Saccharomyces cerevisiae S288C: one gene and its partners. The gene in region 3 interacts genetically with the main gene of each other region. Each region holds a gene or a part of one and is shown on either strand. Other genes may lie near its edges. The genes, in order: SAP155, ABD1, RRD1 and PRI2.

Evidence for each region.
Region 1: mutations in RRD1 (region 3) and SAP155 together harm fitness more than expected from each alone (negative genetic interaction), as found in Saccharomyces cerevisiae (2 studies listed by BioGRID).
Region 2: mutations in RRD1 (region 3) and ABD1 together harm fitness more than expected from each alone (negative genetic interaction), as found in Saccharomyces cerevisiae (2 studies listed by BioGRID).
Region 4: mutations in RRD1 (region 3) and PRI2 together harm fitness more than expected from each alone (negative genetic interaction), as found in Saccharomyces cerevisiae (2 studies listed by BioGRID).

Annotation. Positions count from the first base shown.
Region 1 is NC_001138.5:231,990-237,915, forward strand, and holds SAP155 (Sap155p), read left to right. Parts: upstream 1-2,252; coding exon 2,253-5,261; downstream 5,262-5,926. Other genes in the region: OSW7 (Osw7p), read right to left, coding at 23-1,555; ERJ5 (Erj5p), read right to left, coding at 5,379-5,926. UniProt on the Saccharomyces cerevisiae protein: Positive regulator of protein phosphatase SIT4. Involved in directing expression of TOR-repressed genes and in dephosphorylation of NPR1 in response to nutrient starvation. Negatively modulates K(+) efflux of the cell by the Na(+)-K(+)/H(+) antiporter NHA1.
Region 2 is NC_001134.8:689,738-694,038, reverse strand, and holds ABD1 (mRNA (guanine-N7)-methyltransferase), read left to right. Parts: upstream 1-2,345; coding exon 2,346-3,656; downstream 3,657-4,301. Other genes in the region: DEAD-box RNA helicase PRP5, read right to left, coding at 1-2,070; VHC1 (Vhc1p), read right to left, coding at 3,776-4,301. UniProt on the Saccharomyces cerevisiae protein: Responsible for methylating the 5'-cap structure of mRNAs.
Region 3 is NC_001141.2:53,404-57,465, forward strand, and holds RRD1 (peptidylprolyl isomerase RRD1), read left to right. Parts: upstream 1-1,794; coding exon 1,795-2,976; downstream 2,977-4,062. Other genes in the region: GUT2 (glycerol-3-phosphate dehydrogenase), read right to left, coding at 1-305; IMP21 (Imp21p), read right to left, coding at 578-1,618; VPR1 (Vpr1p), read left to right, coding at 3,142-3,849; ESL1 (Esl1p), read right to left, coding at 3,935-4,062. UniProt on the Saccharomyces cerevisiae protein: PPIases accelerate the folding of proteins. It catalyzes the cis-trans isomerization of proline imidic peptide bonds in oligopeptides.
Region 4 is NC_001143.9:351,391-356,010, forward strand, and holds PRI2 (DNA primase subunit PRI2), read left to right. Parts: upstream 1-2,102; coding exon 2,103-3,689; downstream 3,690-4,620. Other genes in the region: DCW1 (putative mannan endo-1,6-alpha-mannosidase), read right to left, coding at 1-1,234. UniProt on the Saccharomyces cerevisiae protein: DNA primase is the polymerase that synthesizes small RNA primers for the Okazaki fragments made during discontinuous DNA replication. In a complex with DNA polymerase alpha (DNA polymerase alpha:primase) constitutes a replicative polymerase.

The DNA of each region.
Region 1 (5,926 bases), on a different chromosome or scaffold from region 3:
CATATACATACCTATATATTGATCAATGTTCTTGCCGTACAAATTCTTCCTCTAGTTGTTCCTTTAGTTCACGGTTTTTGAATAAAGTATCCGCAGTATTCATTCGTTGCAGAAAGGTATCTTGAATATTATTTTTTGTGTTCTGGAAATCAGCTTTTAGTTTAGTAATCCATTCCAGTATCAAAGTCATATCCAGATCATGTTTTACCAGACGGTTCCTCTCAGAAATAACTTTCTTTTTCAATTCCATGAAACGGAGCCAGTTGGAATGATTCTCTTCTATATAGGCAGGATCGTATTGATCTTCCAAATGGAGACCTCTGACGTCCATATATGCCATTCTTTGCGACCATTGACTTATCATTACATCGCCCCACTCTTCGTACACTTCGACGTTTTCAAGACGAATCGATTCTGCCAGTTTAGCCATTTCGGTAAGAAAAGAATCTAATGAATGAAACAGTGATTTTTCAAAGTCTAACAAATGTATTTTATAATTCTTCAGTATCGATGTGATAGATGATTTGGTAATGTAAGCTTCCAGTTCAACTTGACCCGATTCATCAAAATACTTTATTTTATTTTGCACAGGATCGAATTTAGAGGTACAATTAATATCTTTGATTTTTGAATCTAGAAACACTAATTGCTCATTAACGGTAGTGTTAAGGTCATCAAGATTCCTAGTGATTTCTATAGATTTATTTTGCACCTCGGCCTCGAACACAGACTGTATCTCTGAATCCAAAAGTGCCATCGCACTGTGTATTTTCGAATCTATAGCCTTAATCCATGCTTCATATTCCATTTTTAATGATTCTGCCTCGTAAGTTTCCAATTCTGCATGGCTATTGGAACCAATGATAATCTTTGACAAATCCTGCAAAATAGCAGCAGTGACGAGTTGTGAGTTCCCGTGGCCATCCTGTACTCCATCGAACTCGTATTCTTTATTTTCATCCTCAATTCCGACATCATCCTCATCCTCATCTTCATCCTCATCCTCATTTTCATTCTCATCATCCTCATAATCCTCTGTTTCCGAGTCTGTCTCAAAAATGGGTTTGGTGAGCGTGCCATCAGCGCTAAAGGAGCCGTATTTCATCCAATCCGTAGAGGAGTTAAATGGATTCTCTAGTACATTCTTCACATTGTCTGTATATGGCTTTAAATAGTACCAGGCAATCCTTAGATGATTTAATAAAGGTCCCAACTTGGAATGTAGCGAACAGCAGAGCTCATTTAGCCTTAGAAAAGAGAAAATATTGTACCAAAAGCGGTAAAAATATCCCATAATTCTCTTCAAGGATGAGTTGGGGTATCTTTCAATCAGTGGTTTTATCGATTGTGAGTACTTTCCAACTAAATAGTCAGAAACCGCTGAACCTTCAACCAATTTAGAATCGAATAGTGAGCCAACTGAAAATTCAGTATGCCGGCAAATGGGCTGTAAATCTGTGGCAAAGCTTCCCAGACCATTTTGCTGACAGACCAGATACCTTGCAATAAACACGCAAGCCAGCAAAGCAGTCGTTACTTTGAAAACGGCCTTCATGATTTTTAGTAAAGAACTAACCACCTTTTTCTTAGTTAAGAAAAGGTCAATCAGTAACAGAAATATGATAGTAGCAACACCCAAAAAAATGCTATCTTCCAATAGTCAAAAAGGAAGCCTCGATGCCATACAAGTCTCTTCTAAAGTACTATTATGTAATTCCTGTTAAATGATACCTGTATTGTGGCTTAAAAGGGCCGAAATGACAACAAAATGAGTAGGGTTAATTTAATTTTTAAAGAGGGCATTTATCTAAAAAATGAAAGACAACTATAGGGCTGGTAATTATAGAATAGGTCTTAGTAGGGTTATCCCTTCCTCTAGAAAAAAAGAAAGAAAAATAATTTTAAGTGGCCAATTAGAACCAAAACCAACAGTATCGTGGTATCATACGCTCCAAAGCAACTAGAAGAAAGGCCTTATTTGACCATTGGATTCAGTATTTTTTCTCCAAGTAGCGGTTAAAAGACTGAGAGACTAAAGCTAGATAGTGGGTTTGAGTGACTATCCCCTTTTTTCCTCCTCTTTTTTTATTATTTTGATTTTATTTCATTTTGATTTTATTTCAACACGATTAAGACACAAGCGTTACTTCCCTAGACTATAGTCTCTGCCGTTCCCATTCTATTGATTTTTGGAGCAGCAGTTTTTACAAAAGAAAAGAAAAAAAAGACGAAAACAACAAGCCAGAGTAAAGATGTCGTTTTGGCCATTTGGACAGAATCTTAATCACTCTAATATTAATAAGATCCTAGATGAATATTTTCATGTGCTACACGAACTGGAAAGGATTAACCCAAGCGTTGGTAAAGCCATTCCCGCTATTTTCAACAACGTTCAGGAACGAGGTACAAGTGACTCCCTAGATTCTATTCCGGAGGAGTATAGTCATGGTGATGAAGTGAAAACGGCACGTGGAGATCAGAAGAGTCGATTTGAGAAGGATGATCAGCAAGAACGGTATGAGAAAGAGGAAGAGGAACGGAGCATGAACTCTAGCGAATCTTCCACTACATCTTTTTCTTCTGGGTCAACTTCTAAAACTGATTTAGATGAGGAGGATATCAGCAATGCTACTGCTCCCATGATGGTCACCACAAAGAATTTGGATAACTCTTTTATTGAAAGAATGCTTGTAGAGACAGAGCTACTGAACGAATTATCGAGACAAAACAAGACGCTACTTGACTTCATTTGCTTTGGATTTTTCTTTGATAAGAAAACTAATAAGAAAGTGAATAATATGGAATATCTGGTCGACCAACTGATGGAATGTATCTCGAAGATTAAAACCGCCACCACAGTGGATTTGAATAACCTGATAGATTATCAAGAACAGCAACAGCTTGATGATAGCTCACAAGAGGACGTTTATGTGGAATCTGATACGGAGCAAGAAGAGGAGAAAGAGGACGATAATAACAGCAATAACAAGAAGAGACGAAAACGCGGAAGCTCCTCGTTTGGTAACGATGATATCAACAACAATGACGACGACGACGATGCGAATGAGGACGATGAATCTGCTTATTTGACAAAGGCCACCATAATATCTGAAATCTTTTCCTTAGACATATGGTTGATTAGCGAGTCATTAGTTAAAAACCAATCATACTTAAACAAGATTTGGTCTATCATCAACCAGCCAAATTTCAATTCTGAAAACTCTCCCTTGGTACCCATATTCTTAAAGATTAACCAAAATCTGTTGTTAACCAGGCAGGATCAATATTTAAATTTTATTCGAACGGAGAGAAGCTTTGTTGATGATATGTTAAAGCATGTTGATATTTCCCTATTGATGGATTTTTTCTTGAAAATAATATCCACAGATAAGATTGAATCACCCACGGGAATAATTGAATTAGTATATGATCAAAACTTGATCAGCAAATGCTTAAGCTTTCTAAATAACAAAGAGTCCCCAGCTGACATCCAAGCATGCGTGGGTGATTTCTTAAAGGCTCTGATTGCCATTTCTGCTAATGCACCCTTGGATGATATTTCCATTGGTCCAAACTCCTTGACGAGACAGCTAGCATCTCCCGAATCCATTGCAAAGCTAGTCGATATCATGATCAACCAAAGAGGTGCCGCATTAAATACCACAGTTTCGATTGTCATTGAGCTGATAAGGAAAAACAATTCAGACTACGATCAAGTTAATCTTTTAACCACTACTATAAAGACTCATCCACCTTCAAATAGAGATCCAATATATTTAGGCTATCTACTTCGGAAATTTTCAAACCATTTGTCCGATTTTTTCCAAATCATTCTAGATATTGAAAATGACGCCAACATCCCATTACATGAAAATCAGTTGCACGAAAAATTTAAACCTTTAGGATTTGAAAGATTCAAAGTGGTGGAATTAATCGCCGAGTTACTGCATTGCTCTAATATGGGATTAATGAATTCCAAAAGGGCAGAAAGAATAGCCAGAAGAAGAGATAAAGTAAGGAGCCAGTTATCCCATCATTTACAAGATGCATTAAACGATCTGAGTATCGAAGAAAAGGAGCAACTTAAAACGAAGCACTCTCCAACACGTGACACTGATCACGACCTAAAAAATAACAACGGTAAAATAGATAACGACAATAATGATAATGATGATGAAAGTGACTATGGCGACGAAATAGACGAGAGCTTCGAAATTCCATACATCAATATGAAGCAAAACATAAAACTTAGGACCGACCCCACGGTCGGGGACCTATTCAAAATCAAACTATATGATACGCGAATTGTTTCCAAAATAATGGAACTATTCTTAACACATCCTTGGAACAATTTTTGGCATAATGTTATATTCGACATAATTCAGCAAATCTTCAATGGAAGAATGGATTTTTCCTATAATTCCTTCCTTGTTTTGTCTCTGTTTAACTTAAAGAGCTCCTATCAATTTATGACTGATATCGTCATATCAGATGAAAAAGGAACGGATGTTTCCCGATTTTCTCCCGTTATTAGAGACCCAAATTTTGATTTCAAAATAACTACAGACTTCATATTAAGGGGCTACCAGGATTCATATAAATTTTATGAGCTAAGGAAAATGAATTTGGGATATATGGGCCATATTGTCTTGATTGCCGAAGAAGTGGTCAAATTTTCTAAATTGTACAAAGTGGAACTAATATCTCCCGATATTCAAGTAATTTTACAAACCGAAGAATGGCAATACTACTCCGAAGAAGTCTTAAACGAAACAAGAATGATGTACTCTAAAATTCTTGGCGGTGGAAGTTATATTGATGATGGAAATGGTAACATCATTCCGCAGCTGCCTGACAATACTACTGTATTAACTCCAAATGGTGATGCAAGTAATAATAATGAAATCCTTGATTCAGATACCGGGAGTAGTAATGGAACAAGTGGTGGCGGCCAATTAATCAATGTTGAGTCTCTAGAAGAACAGTTGTCCTTATCTACAGAATCTGATTTACACAACAAGTTAAGGGAAATGTTAATCAATAGGGCTCAAGAAGACGTTGATAATAAGAACACGGAAAATGGGGTTTTCATACTGGGGCCGCCGGAGGACAAGAACAGTAATAGTAACATTAACAATACCAACCATAATAGTAATAATAGTAATAACAACGATAATAACGATAATAATGATAATGACAATGATAATACTCGTAATTATAATGAAGATGCTGATAATGATAATGATTATGATCATGAATGATACATTGTTTTGTACTTTTCTTTAATTTGTATATATATATATTAATTTATATGTATAAGTACCATGTAGTTTTCTATTCATTCATTCATTCATCATGATAATATTACTTCTTACGTATCATTTACGTGAATAGATCACTTTACCGTTAGGCAATTCCATTTTCTTTTGGCCTTTCTTTGCAGAACCCTTTTTTACTTTGTTCCCCTTTTTTGTTTGGTTACCATCATACTTTTTACTATCCGTTATTATTTCTTCTTTTCCTGCGCTACCAACAGATTTGCCAAACGTCATGTTCCAAACCGAAGCAGGTATTCTCCAAAACAAACAGTTCTTTACTGAAGGTTTATCCAAGGTATCTGGCGAAATTAGTGTTTCACTTCCATCAGGCTCTACAACATAGACATCGCTAAACCTTACAACCAAACTTTTACCCTCATCCTTTTCATGTTGTTTAAACGTTAGTTGTTTTACGCCTAGTCCATTGGTATCATCCTGTTGTTTACACTGACTGATGAAGTTTTCAATTCTTGATCTTTGAGAACGATATTGAATAATAGAAATGATATACTGCCCAATATTAACGACTATCCAAATAAAGGCCAGCAGGAACCAAGTCTTAGGCTTCATTCTGGAAAAATAAAAACCACCCTTATGGAAATCATAGT
Region 2 (4,301 bases), on a different chromosome or scaffold from region 3:
GATATTTTCCAGTCCTTTGCCGCCGAACCCTTTCGACAACCTAAACTTACCCTTTTTCATACCGGATTCAAACTTGGCACTCATTTCCTGAAGTTCTTTTGCTTGCAGAGGGTCTAAAGCTTTTATTTCTTCATCGCGCATTGCCTTGCTCAAGATATAAGCACCTGACAGTTCATCATGCAATAGAAGAGTAATAGCAGTACCGGAGCGACTACCTCTGGCAGTTCTTCCAGTAGTATGAACATATTGCGCGAAAGTTTTGACGGCGTTATAGATAATAACCAACGACACTTCGGGAACATTTAAACCTCTTGAGAGAACCTCTGTACAGAGAAGAATACTGTTCTTTTCTCGTTTGAACTTTTCTAAGTTCATAAGCCTTTCTTGATATGGCTTACCTGCATGAATAGCACAGGTCACAATTCCAGCATTTAACAGCTTTTTTGAAATGAAGTCGCAAATATTCTGACTTGATACAAATATAATGGCTTTAGCATCAACTTCTTCAACATCGCTTGACTGTCCGTCATTTTCACTTTGAACCTCGTCAAAAAATTCACTGCGCTCATGGATAAGCTGCACCAGATTGTCAAATTTTTCATCTTCTGAATGGCATATTCTAAACTTTTGTTTTACGTTTTCATTAACCATTCCCTTTGAATTAATCGTAATAGATATTGGGGAATGCAAAACTCTTACGGCAAAACTGCGTAGTTTGTTCGGAAAAGTTGCACTAAATAGAACACACTGTTTATCCGGTCGAACAGTTTTCATGATTTGCGTTATTTGAGGTTCAAAACCTAAATCGAACAGCCTGTCTGCCTCATCCATTACTACGAACGTTATTCTTTTAGTACTAAGTAATTTCCCATCATTTAGTGTTAATATATCAATAAATCGTCCCGGTGTGGCAACAACAATCTCAGTGCCTCTTTTAAGATCAGTAATCTGCTTTTTCATTTCAGAACCTCCTGTACAGCATACTGATCTAATGGATGTATCTGCTTCTGTGAATTTAGTAACTTCTTCATGTATTTGTAAAGCTAGCTCTCTAGTTGGAGCCAGAATTAAACCCATGGGCCCTGTTTCATGTTTTGATAATGGCCGTTGAGCTTTTACTTGTCTTAGCAATGGTAAAAGATAGGAGATGGTCTTGCCGGAGCCAGTTTTTGATATTCCTATAACATCACGACCTGACATAATAGCGGGAAGAGCCTGGGATTGAATAGGCGTTAAGGAGCCAAAGTGCAACTTTTCTGTAATTAAAACCATGGTGTCCGTTGATAGTCCCAGTTGAGACCACTTTGTGACTGGTTTGGGGCAACCTGTTCCCTTTATTTTGATATTATCCAGACTAAGTCTAAGCTCCTCAACTTCCATCTCTGACATCGAGGAAACTGTTTCAGATTCTATATAAAAATTTTTTTGGAACGGCTCAAGCTCTTCTGGAGAGTAATAAATTTGCTTTACACGTTTTTTTGCTTTGAGTTTAGCAATTTTCGCTATATTAGAATTATCCGTATTATCTTCAACATCCTCATCGTCGGTTCCTCCAAGTTCAAACAATTGATCCTCTACATCAAGAATGTCGCCTCTGTCGTACATGCCTTTACTATTACTCATTTTCTCCTCCTTCAATGACGTCATAAACTCATCCAGTGGATCTTTTTCATTATCATGCTCTGGAGCTTTTTGAATGTGCTCCTTCGATCTAAAAGAAACTCCTATTTCAGAATCATCGTCATCACTGAAGTCGAAGGATATTTTCTTCTTTACCTTACTTCTCTTCGACTTTTTCTTCGAAGGCTTAACCGATACAGGTTCGTCAGATTTCCTAAATTCATTTTTTCTCTTCCGAAGCTCTTCTTTTACACGTTCCTGTCTTTCCGTAAACTTTTCAGTAGTCTGCTTACCTTCTAAACTGTTAGTAACAATGTCATTGCGTGAAGTTTGATGCTCTTTCTGAGCATCAAATTGTGCTTTTTTTTGTTTCCATTTTGCTAGTTTTTTCCTCCTTTCCTCCAATAAAGACTCCCTATTAATATTTTGCTTCGAATCAATAGTTTCCATACCTCAAATAAACCCAAGGCAACAGCGTTATGATTTCCCTTCTCGAATTATTTGGCGCTGTATTATATTAGAAAGAACTCTAATACCTTTAGTTTGGTCCATTGCTCTAAATGACTTTAATTAGTTTCATCTAATCCGGGTAATGGTAAATCAAGATATTTCAACATAAATTAGAAGATTTCTTATTTTAATCCTTTACATGTGAGACACTTTTCCGATTAATGTGACAACTACTACAACGTGGAGTCGTCCATTATCCGTCTTAGAAAAGTAGAATGTCAACCAAACCAGAGAAGCCAATATGGATGTCACAAGAAGACTATGACCGTCAGTACGGCTCAATTACTGGTGATGAATCGTCCACAGTCTCAAAAAAAGACTCCAAAGTTACTGCCAATGCGCCTGGTGATGGTAATGGATCATTACCAGTTTTGCAAAGCAGCTCTATCCTTACTTCTAAGGTGTCTGATCTACCCATTGAGGCAGAATCCGGGTTTAAAATCCAAAAGAGAAGACATGAAAGGTATGATCAAGAGGAAAGATTACGCAAACAGCGTGCTCAAAAATTGAGAGAAGAGCAACTAAAGAGACATGAAATAGAGATGACTGCAAATAGATCCATAAATGTTGACCAGATTGTCCGAGAGCACTATAATGAACGTACAATAATCGCCAATCGCGCTAAGAGGAATCTATCGCCTATTATTAAGCTTCGTAATTTTAACAATGCGATTAAGTATATGTTAATTGACAAATATACAAAACCTGGAGATGTCGTTTTAGAACTCGGATGTGGCAAAGGTGGTGATTTAAGAAAATATGGTGCTGCAGGTATTTCACAGTTTATTGGTATTGACATTTCCAATGCCTCTATCCAAGAAGCTCATAAGAGATACCGGTCCATGAGAAATTTGGACTACCAAGTTGTGCTAATTACTGGGGATTGCTTTGGCGAATCATTAGGTGTTGCAGTAGAGCCCTTCCCAGACTGTAGATTTCCGTGTGATATCGTTTCGACGCAATTTTGCTTGCATTATGCTTTTGAGACCGAAGAAAAAGCAAGGAGAGCTTTACTGAATGTCGCCAAATCACTCAAAATTGGTGGTCACTTTTTTGGCACGATACCAGATTCAGAATTCATTCGTTATAAACTGAATAAATTTCCCAAAGAAGTGGAAAAGCCATCTTGGGGAAACTCCATTTATAAAGTGACATTTGAGAATAATTCATACCAAAAGAATGATTATGAGTTCACATCGCCTTATGGTCAAATGTATACTTATTGGCTAGAAGATGCTATAGATAATGTTCCTGAATATGTTGTGCCATTCGAAACCTTAAGAAGTTTGGCTGATGAATACGGTTTGGAACTAGTATCGCAAATGCCTTTTAATAAATTTTTTGTCCAAGAAATTCCCAAATGGATTGAGAGGTTTTCGCCTAAAATGAGGGAAGGTTTACAAAGATCTGATGGTAGATATGGTGTTGAAGGGGATGAAAAGGAAGCGGCATCATATTTCTATACCATGTTTGCATTCCGTAAGGTAAAACAGTATATCGAACCGGAAAGCGTAAAGCCCAACTGAAATAAAAATGAATAGAAACAATAACCCTACTATAAAGCATCTGTATTTCGGCCGTATTACAAGACTTCTATATGTAGTAAATAAGTTCTGGGGAAATGCATAACGATATATGTGTTATTCTATAATGCAGTAGTTACTGTCATGGTTTGCGAATTGATTAACATGCATGGAGGTAAGCCCTCCAACCAAATATCCAAGTCCTCGACATATTGTAAACTTGCATCGTGATCTTCATGTGTTCCAAGAGCTGGAACTGGCAAGGTTGAAAAAATTAAATCCGAACTCTTTGACATTTGTGTCATCACATCATTCAGAACCAAATGTTGAGCAGTGCTGGGAAGATCATTGAAACCTAAATTTTGCATCGCTGTGACTAAACTATCTTTTGAACAACAAGGTGATAATTCGGGAAGAACCGGTTTCTTTAATTTGTTGCCGTTGCCAATACCGCTCCCAGTACCGTTCCCATTCGAAAGGTCAGGTTCGGCAATTGGGATCAGTGTCGGCTGTTCACCCGTGCCATCTTCCACGACTCTCGTCCTCGGCAAAGTATTACTCGAGAAAACGGGTCTTAACGACTGTGTTGACACATCGCTTTGTAAATTCTTTACGAGTAAATTTGTTCTGTCGGAACCGGTCTTCGAT
Region 3 (4,062 bases):
GCAAAATCCCCCTTTTCAACAAGGGCCACATTGAGTCCCCTGGTCGCAGCATCTAGGGCACATCCTGTCCCCGTGGCCCCGCCACCGATGATCAACACGTCGAATTGATGCGTCTTGGCCAGACGGTCCAGCAGGTCTCGTCTAGAGACCTGCGGTGGAGCGGCGGTGGGGAATTGCACCATGTAGCTCGGGTCATTGTGCACTAACGGCCTATCACCTTGGCTAGTCATCCAGTACAGCGTCCCCGTGGCTGTGGCCATGGCAGCAGCTGCACCGGCAGCTCTTCTTCTCGTTACCGAAAACATATATTAGTACGTATTTAGTCTTGTAGCAGTGATGGCAATAGCACGGTCAAGATAAGGGAGGGAGAGTCCTTGCTTTAGACCAAAGTTCCCTATTTGTGGCTGTTCTCTTTTAAGTTTAAATACGATTTTTAGCGTGCGGGGTTGTGAAATTTCCCCTGCCAAAACTGAAATAAAGTTGGGTGGATAACGTATCGGAGCAGAGAAAAGACATAAGGTCTGTTGCTGTATATAAGTATGTGTTGCTAAAAAGGAATTAGTGCAGTGATTATTGGTCACTCGCTGATGCCCTTGCGCTTGGCACGTTTCAGCTTCTTTCTAACCGCGAGGATGGGCACAGAGCAGACGAAGTTCTGCAGAGTGGACAGGATGACCGAGAGGGAGCAGCACAGGGCGACTGGCTTGAGGCCGTGGATCATCTCGTTGAGGAGGTGTTTTGGGTACGGATGGGTCAAGGAGAGGACGACGACGTCGAGGTCGTCGAGCACGCCCGCGACGCAGTCAAACAGGTGCATGACGTGCTTTCTGATTCTGGCAACGTTGGCGAACATCTGGGAGTCGTCCGTGGGCTTCGAGGGCTCCCAGTGGACAATGTAGACGGTGTCTCCCTGGTTGACAGCTGCGCCCATGAGATAGGTCAGGGCGTAGGTGGACTCGCTGCTCAGGTCCGTGTAGAGGATGAAGGACCTTTGGTTCCCGGCCTCTGCGCCGGCACCCTTGGTGAGTAGTTGCATGGCTCTGACGTAGCCTCCGTCGAGTTGCTCCAGAGACACGTCTTCGTTTTCGTGGCCACGGATGCTGATCTCGTACTTGGCTATCCAGGGCTTGCTGGAGTCTAGCACTTCGTTTATGCTGGTACAAAAGTTGGGTAACACTTTCATGCCCAGATCGTAGTGGAACTCCTCGTCAATCTCTAAATCGTTCTCTATATCGCTCACTTGCTCTTCATCGGACTCTTCCTCGTCCATATCGTCGCCGTCGCCGTCGTCGTCATCTTCGTCGTTGCCCTCACCTTCCTCTTCAGAATCCACATCCACGACCCTCAACCGCATCGAGGGGTCCTGCCTCAACACGGTCCACTTGAGGAACTCTTCCTCCCTTACTCTGCTGCGGCTACTGGCCCTGCTTCTCGACCGCGACAGACTGCTCACGTTTGAGTCTCGTTCGCCTCTTTTCTTCTTGCTACGACCTCTTTCCCTGTGGCCCCTTTCCATCTGCTCCGAGTCGAACTCCACCGTGGTGGGCGTTTCCGTTTTGATGCTGTGTAGATTCGATTGTGTTCCGTCAGGTTTAGTCAGCAATATGCTCTTCTGCATTGCGTACTTGGTTGTTTCTCTTGTTGGTTCTTTTGGTACTCACCCTTTCCATAGTCTCTTGTGTTTGATCAAGCCTTTTTTCCGGACCTTTAAAGCTTTCTTAAAAAGATAAAATAGGAAGAAAGTGCAAAGTGCAAAAGAACGCACATATGAACAAGCATTAAACGAGCAAAGAAATGTCTCTGGATCGTGTAGATTGGCCGCACGCCACCTTCTCTACGCCGGTGAAGCGTATCTTCGATACGCAGACAACGCTGGACTTCCAATCGTCACTAGCCATTCACAGAATCAAGTATCATCTTCACAAGTACACTACGTTGATATCGCACTGTTCTGACCCCGACCCGCACGCTACTGCGTCGTCGATCGCCATGGTTAACGGGCTGATGGGAGTGTTGGACAAGCTGGCACACCTGATCGACGAGACACCGCCTCTTCCAGGTCCTAGAAGGTATGGTAACCTAGCATGCCGCGAGTGGCATCACAAGCTGGATGAACGTTTGCCTCAGTGGCTGCAGGAAATGCTTCCCTCGGAATACCATGAGGTGGTGCCTGAATTGCAGTATTACCTGGGCAACAGCTTTGGTTCGTCGACAAGATTGGACTACGGCACGGGCCACGAACTTTCGTTCATGGCCACGGTCGCAGCACTGGACATGCTGGGGATGTTTCCGCACATGAGGGGGGCAGACGTTTTTCTGCTGTTCAACAAGTACTACACGATCATGAGGAGGCTGATCCTGACGTATACGCTGGAGCCCGCTGGGTCACATGGCGTGTGGGGGCTTGATGACCATTTCCACTTGGTGTACATCTTGGGCTCGTCTCAATGGCAGCTGCTTGATGCGCAAGCACCCTTGCAACCAAGAGAAATACTGGATAAGTCTCTGGTGCGCGAGTATAAGGACACCAACTTCTACTGCCAAGGCATAAACTTTATTAATGAGGTGAAAATGGGGCCCTTTGAAGAGCATTCCCCCATCCTATACGATATTGCCGTCACCGTTCCACGCTGGTCCAAAGTGTGTAAGGGGCTTCTAAAAATGTATTCTGTAGAGGTTCTGAAGAAGTTCCCCGTGGTGCAACATTTCTGGTTCGGCACAGGCTTCTTTCCCTGGGTCAACATTCAAAACGGCACTGATCTTCCAGTCTTTGAAGAAAAGGAGGAAGAGAGTATAGAACAGGCTAACGCAGGATCGCCCGGTCGAGAACAGACTTCAACACGATTCCCAACGTCCACGTCAATGCCTCCCCCAGGCGTTCCGCCGTCAGGTAACAATATCAACTATTTACTAAGCCATCAAAACCAGTCGCACCGGAACCAGACTTCTTTTTCAAGAGATAGACTACGTAGATAATATTAATTAAACATATAAATGTGTATGACAAGCATTATGACTTCTATTTTCGTTCTTTTTTACTTGCGTCTACAATATATAAGCATATAATCAGATGAAAAAAGGAAAAGGAAGCGGTAATACAAATAAACAAAGAAGTGGAAAAAGTCGCCACAGTGTAAGCAAATGAGTCACAAGAGAAGGGGCCTGGTAATATATCAGGATCAGAAGCAGCAACAACAACACCCCCCGGGGCAGTCCCTAAGCTCTATATCCTGGTCTCCAACCAGGCGACCTCATCACCCTTTAAAACAACAAAGCACCAACAGTTTCTCAGAAATACTATCGAAATCAAGTGTGCAACCGAACGTGCAACATGACGGTAATCATATGCCCATTTCATTGCTAGTTCTGAAACAAGAACATCATAAGCAGCAGCAGCAGCAGCAGCAGCGCCAGAATATCCGATCACAAAACTCTACGCCTCCCCTGCGACAGTTGGTTCAGGAGTCGCAGTGGACGAGCTCCGCAAGTAATAGTTCTCTAAAGAAACAGGAAAAGCAGCCGCAAACATTCTACAACACTGACTCTAAACTTGTTTCTCAACTGCATAGCTCCGTGAAGGACCTGGATGCCATAATCCAGACGCATAAACCAAAGTTTGACACAATTATTCGCGATTTCTCTCAAGCAACCATACTGTCCTCAAACGAGTTACTCATCAAACTTCCGAAGGACCAAACAATAATATTGCATAGCAGAGCGCCAAAAATTAACGCAGAATGGCTACAGAACAAGGTTAATGACCCTAGTGCCTCGTTAGTGATCGATTCAAGATCTTTTCTAACCTTGTGTAACAATATAAAATGGTACCTGCATTGGAAATTTATATGAAAAGTAATTGTAGAATGGAGTGTTCAAAAAAAAAAAAAAAATGCACAGAAATATATATGTGATCATATATATGTATATATACATATTAGTTGGTACATAATCCACTATTAATACCAAGCTTGCTACCTAACGAAAATAAATACTTTGTATTGCACGTTTTTATCATTCTGTCCTTCGCTTTTTGGTTCATATTATCATCATCCGTTACCAGCA
Region 4 (4,620 bases), on a different chromosome or scaffold from region 3:
GCGCTTGAGTACCTGCTGCCCCATCACCAACAGATGAACCACCATTCTCTGCCGTGTATGGTGCGGGTTTATCTAAGGCCCTCGTGTTGACCATTACTTCTAAGGCGGACATTTGTTCACCTAGACCATACATACCATCCCAAGTCCCATTGAACCAATTCAATCCACAGGTATGACCATCAGTACCTCCAGAACATGATTTCGCGGCCGCAATGGCAGATGTATTCAACCAAGACATAATTTGGTTCCTAGTTTCTGGCACTAGTTGTGCAGTGACACCTAAGAAACGGGCAAAATAGGCTTTGAAGGAACGTTGATCTGTATTACAAGAATTTGGACCTTGACAAGCAGCTTCATACACAATACCATCATGGAAAAACACTTGGGAAGCGTTCAAAAACTCTTTGGTTCTTGTGTGCCAGAGGTCTGATCCCGTAAAGTTGTAAAGGTAGGCAGAGCCAGCCAACAGCAAACCTTGATTATATGTCCATTGATATGAGGTCACTTTGGTGCAATTATCATCAATGCTGACACCATCGTAAACATACTTATAGGTACCATTAGAAATTAAGTTCACACCGACCATCCACTCGTAAACTTTTTCGGCCCAGTCAACATATGTTTGATTACCTGTATATCTTGCTAATCTTGCAGCTATGTGAAACAAGGCACCGTTAGAAACGGTGTTCTTGTAATCGTAACCAGAGTTCCAAACGAAAATTTGCCACCTCAAACCACCACCACAGGAATCGGCATCCCAACGCAAAGCCATGGTATTGAAAACAGCCTGTGCTAAATATAGCCATTGAGGCTCATTCTCGGGAGGATTAGTAAAGTTTCTCTCCGCGGCAGTCATAGCAGCAATACCCCAAAAGGCTTGGTCATCATTACCTTCAGTGGTAGATTGATTTAGCGGAATATAGTCATTATCATCACCAGCTTGATGTATCATTGCTGCTATAATTTCATCATTATAGGTGTCGTTATCCATGAAAAACCAGTAATCTAGCATACAGCCCCAGGCACCACCGGCTTCCCACCAATAGTACGGATCTGAAAACATACCGACCGTCTTACCATACTGATTACCAGTGTAATAATCCATTAAACCGTAGGCAATTAGTGAAGTAGCATTTTGCAAAGATTCGTAGTTGTCTAGATCCAATTCGACGGCATTTGTAAATCTTGTTGCGAAGAGTACACCCAGTAACCCTATCACTTTATTTACTAGCATTTTTATGTGTTCGTTTTTAAAACAGACTGAAAAGAAAGAAAGCTCAGAAAAAAAGTGGTGTGTATTTTGTTGTATCCACTATTATATGTCCTGGAAAGGTTTCCCTAGCGTTTTGACCCTTTCGTATCTTGTAATTTAAGCCTCTTTTTACCAAAAATCCTCCCGTTCGCACACCTATTAAGCTGCTTATAAAATATGAGTATCAACACAGTAACAGTGAATATATAATAGATGAGCCCATTATACAAAGAGTACCTATGATCATCATGAAATCCGAGCTTTATTTCCATCTGCCAGTTTTCTTTCTGGATGTACGAAATTAAATCGCGCCTCGAACGGGTGCAAAACCGGGTGACGGGACACCGCTACGAATATAGTACGATACACTTATACATATATGGAAGCATTTATAGCGTATATTCATCGTACGGTACATTCTTTAAATAAATGATTGAATTTTTCTGAACCAACAGTTATAAGCTGAGATCCAGTGCGTTCATGAAACGGAACATCTTACATCATCAAGAGCCCAGAAGCACGGCGTAGGATTGTTTCCGCTGCTACAGACAGACATGGAAACACTGTTTTTATCAGGCCAAAGGTGATACGACAGGTCTCTTCTTGTTTCAATATTGCCTTACATATCTGCTGCTCACTCTATTTGCTTTTTCCTGCTCATTTATAGTTAACTTGATTTGAAATTACGCGTCGCGGGGAATCGCGTAAAACTCGATATTAAATCCTGTGATTTTGCAAAAGTAAATTTTTTACTATCTACATCTCTCCAATTTGCACAACTTTGACAGGACTGATAACTACCCAGGTGGAGCAACCAGTGACAGCAGGTAAAGCACAATAAGGAGAAGAAATGTTCAGGCAGTCAAAAAGAAGAATTGCCTCAAGGAAGAATTTTAGTTCATACGATGATATTGTCAAAAGCGAATTGGACGTAGGCAACACAAATGCAGCTAACCAGATCATCTTAAGTTCAAGTTCATCTGAAGAAGAGAAAAAACTTTACGCTAGGCTGTATGAGTCTAAATTATCATTTTACGATTTACCACCACAGGGAGAAATAACGTTGGAACAATTTGAGATCTGGGCAATCGATCGTCTCAAAATTCTGTTAGAGATCGAATCTTGCCTTTCAAGAAACAAATCGATCAAAGAAATTGAAACCATTATCAAGCCGCAGTTCCAAAAACTACTGCCTTTCAACACAGAGAGTTTAGAAGACAGAAAAAAGGATTACTACTCTCATTTCATTTTAAGATTGTGCTTTTGTCGTTCAAAAGAACTGCGGGAAAAATTCGTCAGGGCTGAAACGTTTTTGTTCAAAATTAGATTTAACATGCTAACCTCCACCGATCAAACAAAATTTGTTCAATCATTGGACTTACCCTTACTACAGTTTATCTCAAATGAAGAAAAGGCCGAATTATCTCATCAGTTGTATCAAACAGTTTCTGCGTCTCTACAGTTCCAATTGAATTTAAACGAGGAACATCAAAGAAAACAGTATTTCCAACAGGAAAAATTCATAAAATTACCTTTCGAAAATGTGATAGAACTGGTAGGAAACCGTTTAGTGTTTTTGAAGGACGGGTACGCATATTTACCACAATTCCAGCAATTGAATTTACTTTCTAATGAGTTTGCTAGCAAATTGAACCAGGAGTTAATAAAAACGTACCAGTACTTACCAAGACTGAATGAGGATGACCGGTTGTTACCAATTCTAAATCATCTTTCGTCGGGGTACACTATCGCGGATTTCAACCAGCAAAAGGCAAACCAATTCAGTGAGAACGTAGATGATGAGATTAATGCGCAAAGTGTCTGGTCTGAAGAGATTAGCTCAAACTATCCGCTATGTATCAAAAACCTGATGGAGGGTCTTAAAAAGAACCATCATTTGAGGTATTATGGGAGACAACAACTGAGTCTGTTTTTGAAAGGTATCGGCCTGAGCGCTGATGAAGCGTTAAAATTTTGGTCTGAGGCATTTACAAGAAATGGGAACATGACAATGGAGAAGTTCAATAAAGAATACCGTTACAGCTTCAGGCATAATTACGGTCTTGAAGGTAACAGAATCAACTACAAACCATGGGACTGTCACACTATCCTTTCCAAGCCCAGACCTGGGCGCGGAGATTATCATGGATGCCCTTTCCGTGATTGGAGTCACGAGAGACTATCTGCAGAATTGCGCTCTATGAAGTTGACCCAAGCGCAGATCATCAGTGTTCTGGATTCCTGCCAGAAAGGTGAATACACAATTGCTTGCACTAAAGTGTTTGAAATGACACACAACTCTGCATCAGCGGATTTGGAAATTGGCGAGCAAACGCATATCGCGCATCCTAACCTATACTTCGAAAGATCAAGGCAACTGCAAAAGAAACAGCAGAAGCTGGAAAAGGAAAAACTATTCAATAATGGTAATCATTAGTGCAGAAAGGGAAAAGGAAAAAAGCGAAGAGATAACTAAAAAGGATTAATAGTATACGTAATTTAGTCTACTGTAAGTATGGTCAAAAATTTTCTTTAGTGAGAAAAAAAAAAAAAAAGAGAAACGATAAACGCTGTACAATACCAGTGACTGCACTGCTCCGAAAACGTCCGAGATATGTATATTGTCCGAATTTTTTCATACTTTAATAGCTGGCCAGAGAAACCTTATAATTTTGTGGCTGCAAGCTATCGCGCTGTTCCTCTGTGACAGGCAACACAGAACAACTAACCGCCTGTCTTTTATGCCTGTACACTTCATTAAAATTTACCGTTTTCTTCCATTACAAGCGGGGACACTTTCCGTTTAAACCTGCAATATGTTGCAGGGCCTATCCACGCCAATTTACTGTGGCAGAAGTTACTGCAGTGGAAGAACTACCTTTTCCAGCATAGCCTCCGCCACCAAAAAATGCAGGTGCTGCGTTTTCTGGATACGTGGCTGGCCTTTAAAACGCATGGGAGGGACAGTATCTCACCGATTTGGTAATGCCGTGATGCAACCTCGAGGATCCGGTTTTCAAGAGCGGAAGTAAAAAACCGGGAAGATCTAATATTTCCTTATGCAGGTATTCTGTGACTAAAAAGTATAGAAGACTATTTTGCACCGCTCCCTGATTAGACTTCGTGCGATATTATTGATGGATATCGTCTTTATCTTTCCGTGGACCTAAAACGGCACCCCTTCGTCTAGGATAAACGCGGTCGGCTCTTTCGAAGACTAAAAAAGCAGCCACAATAACGTTACATGCAAAATCAGCCCACTCGAAGTTAGATACTGCGTAGACGGATTTGCACGATGCGATGATAAATATTAGGGACAGTGCGTGCCCACCCATAAGTTGCTGTAGAGCTTACAAATTGTAAAGACT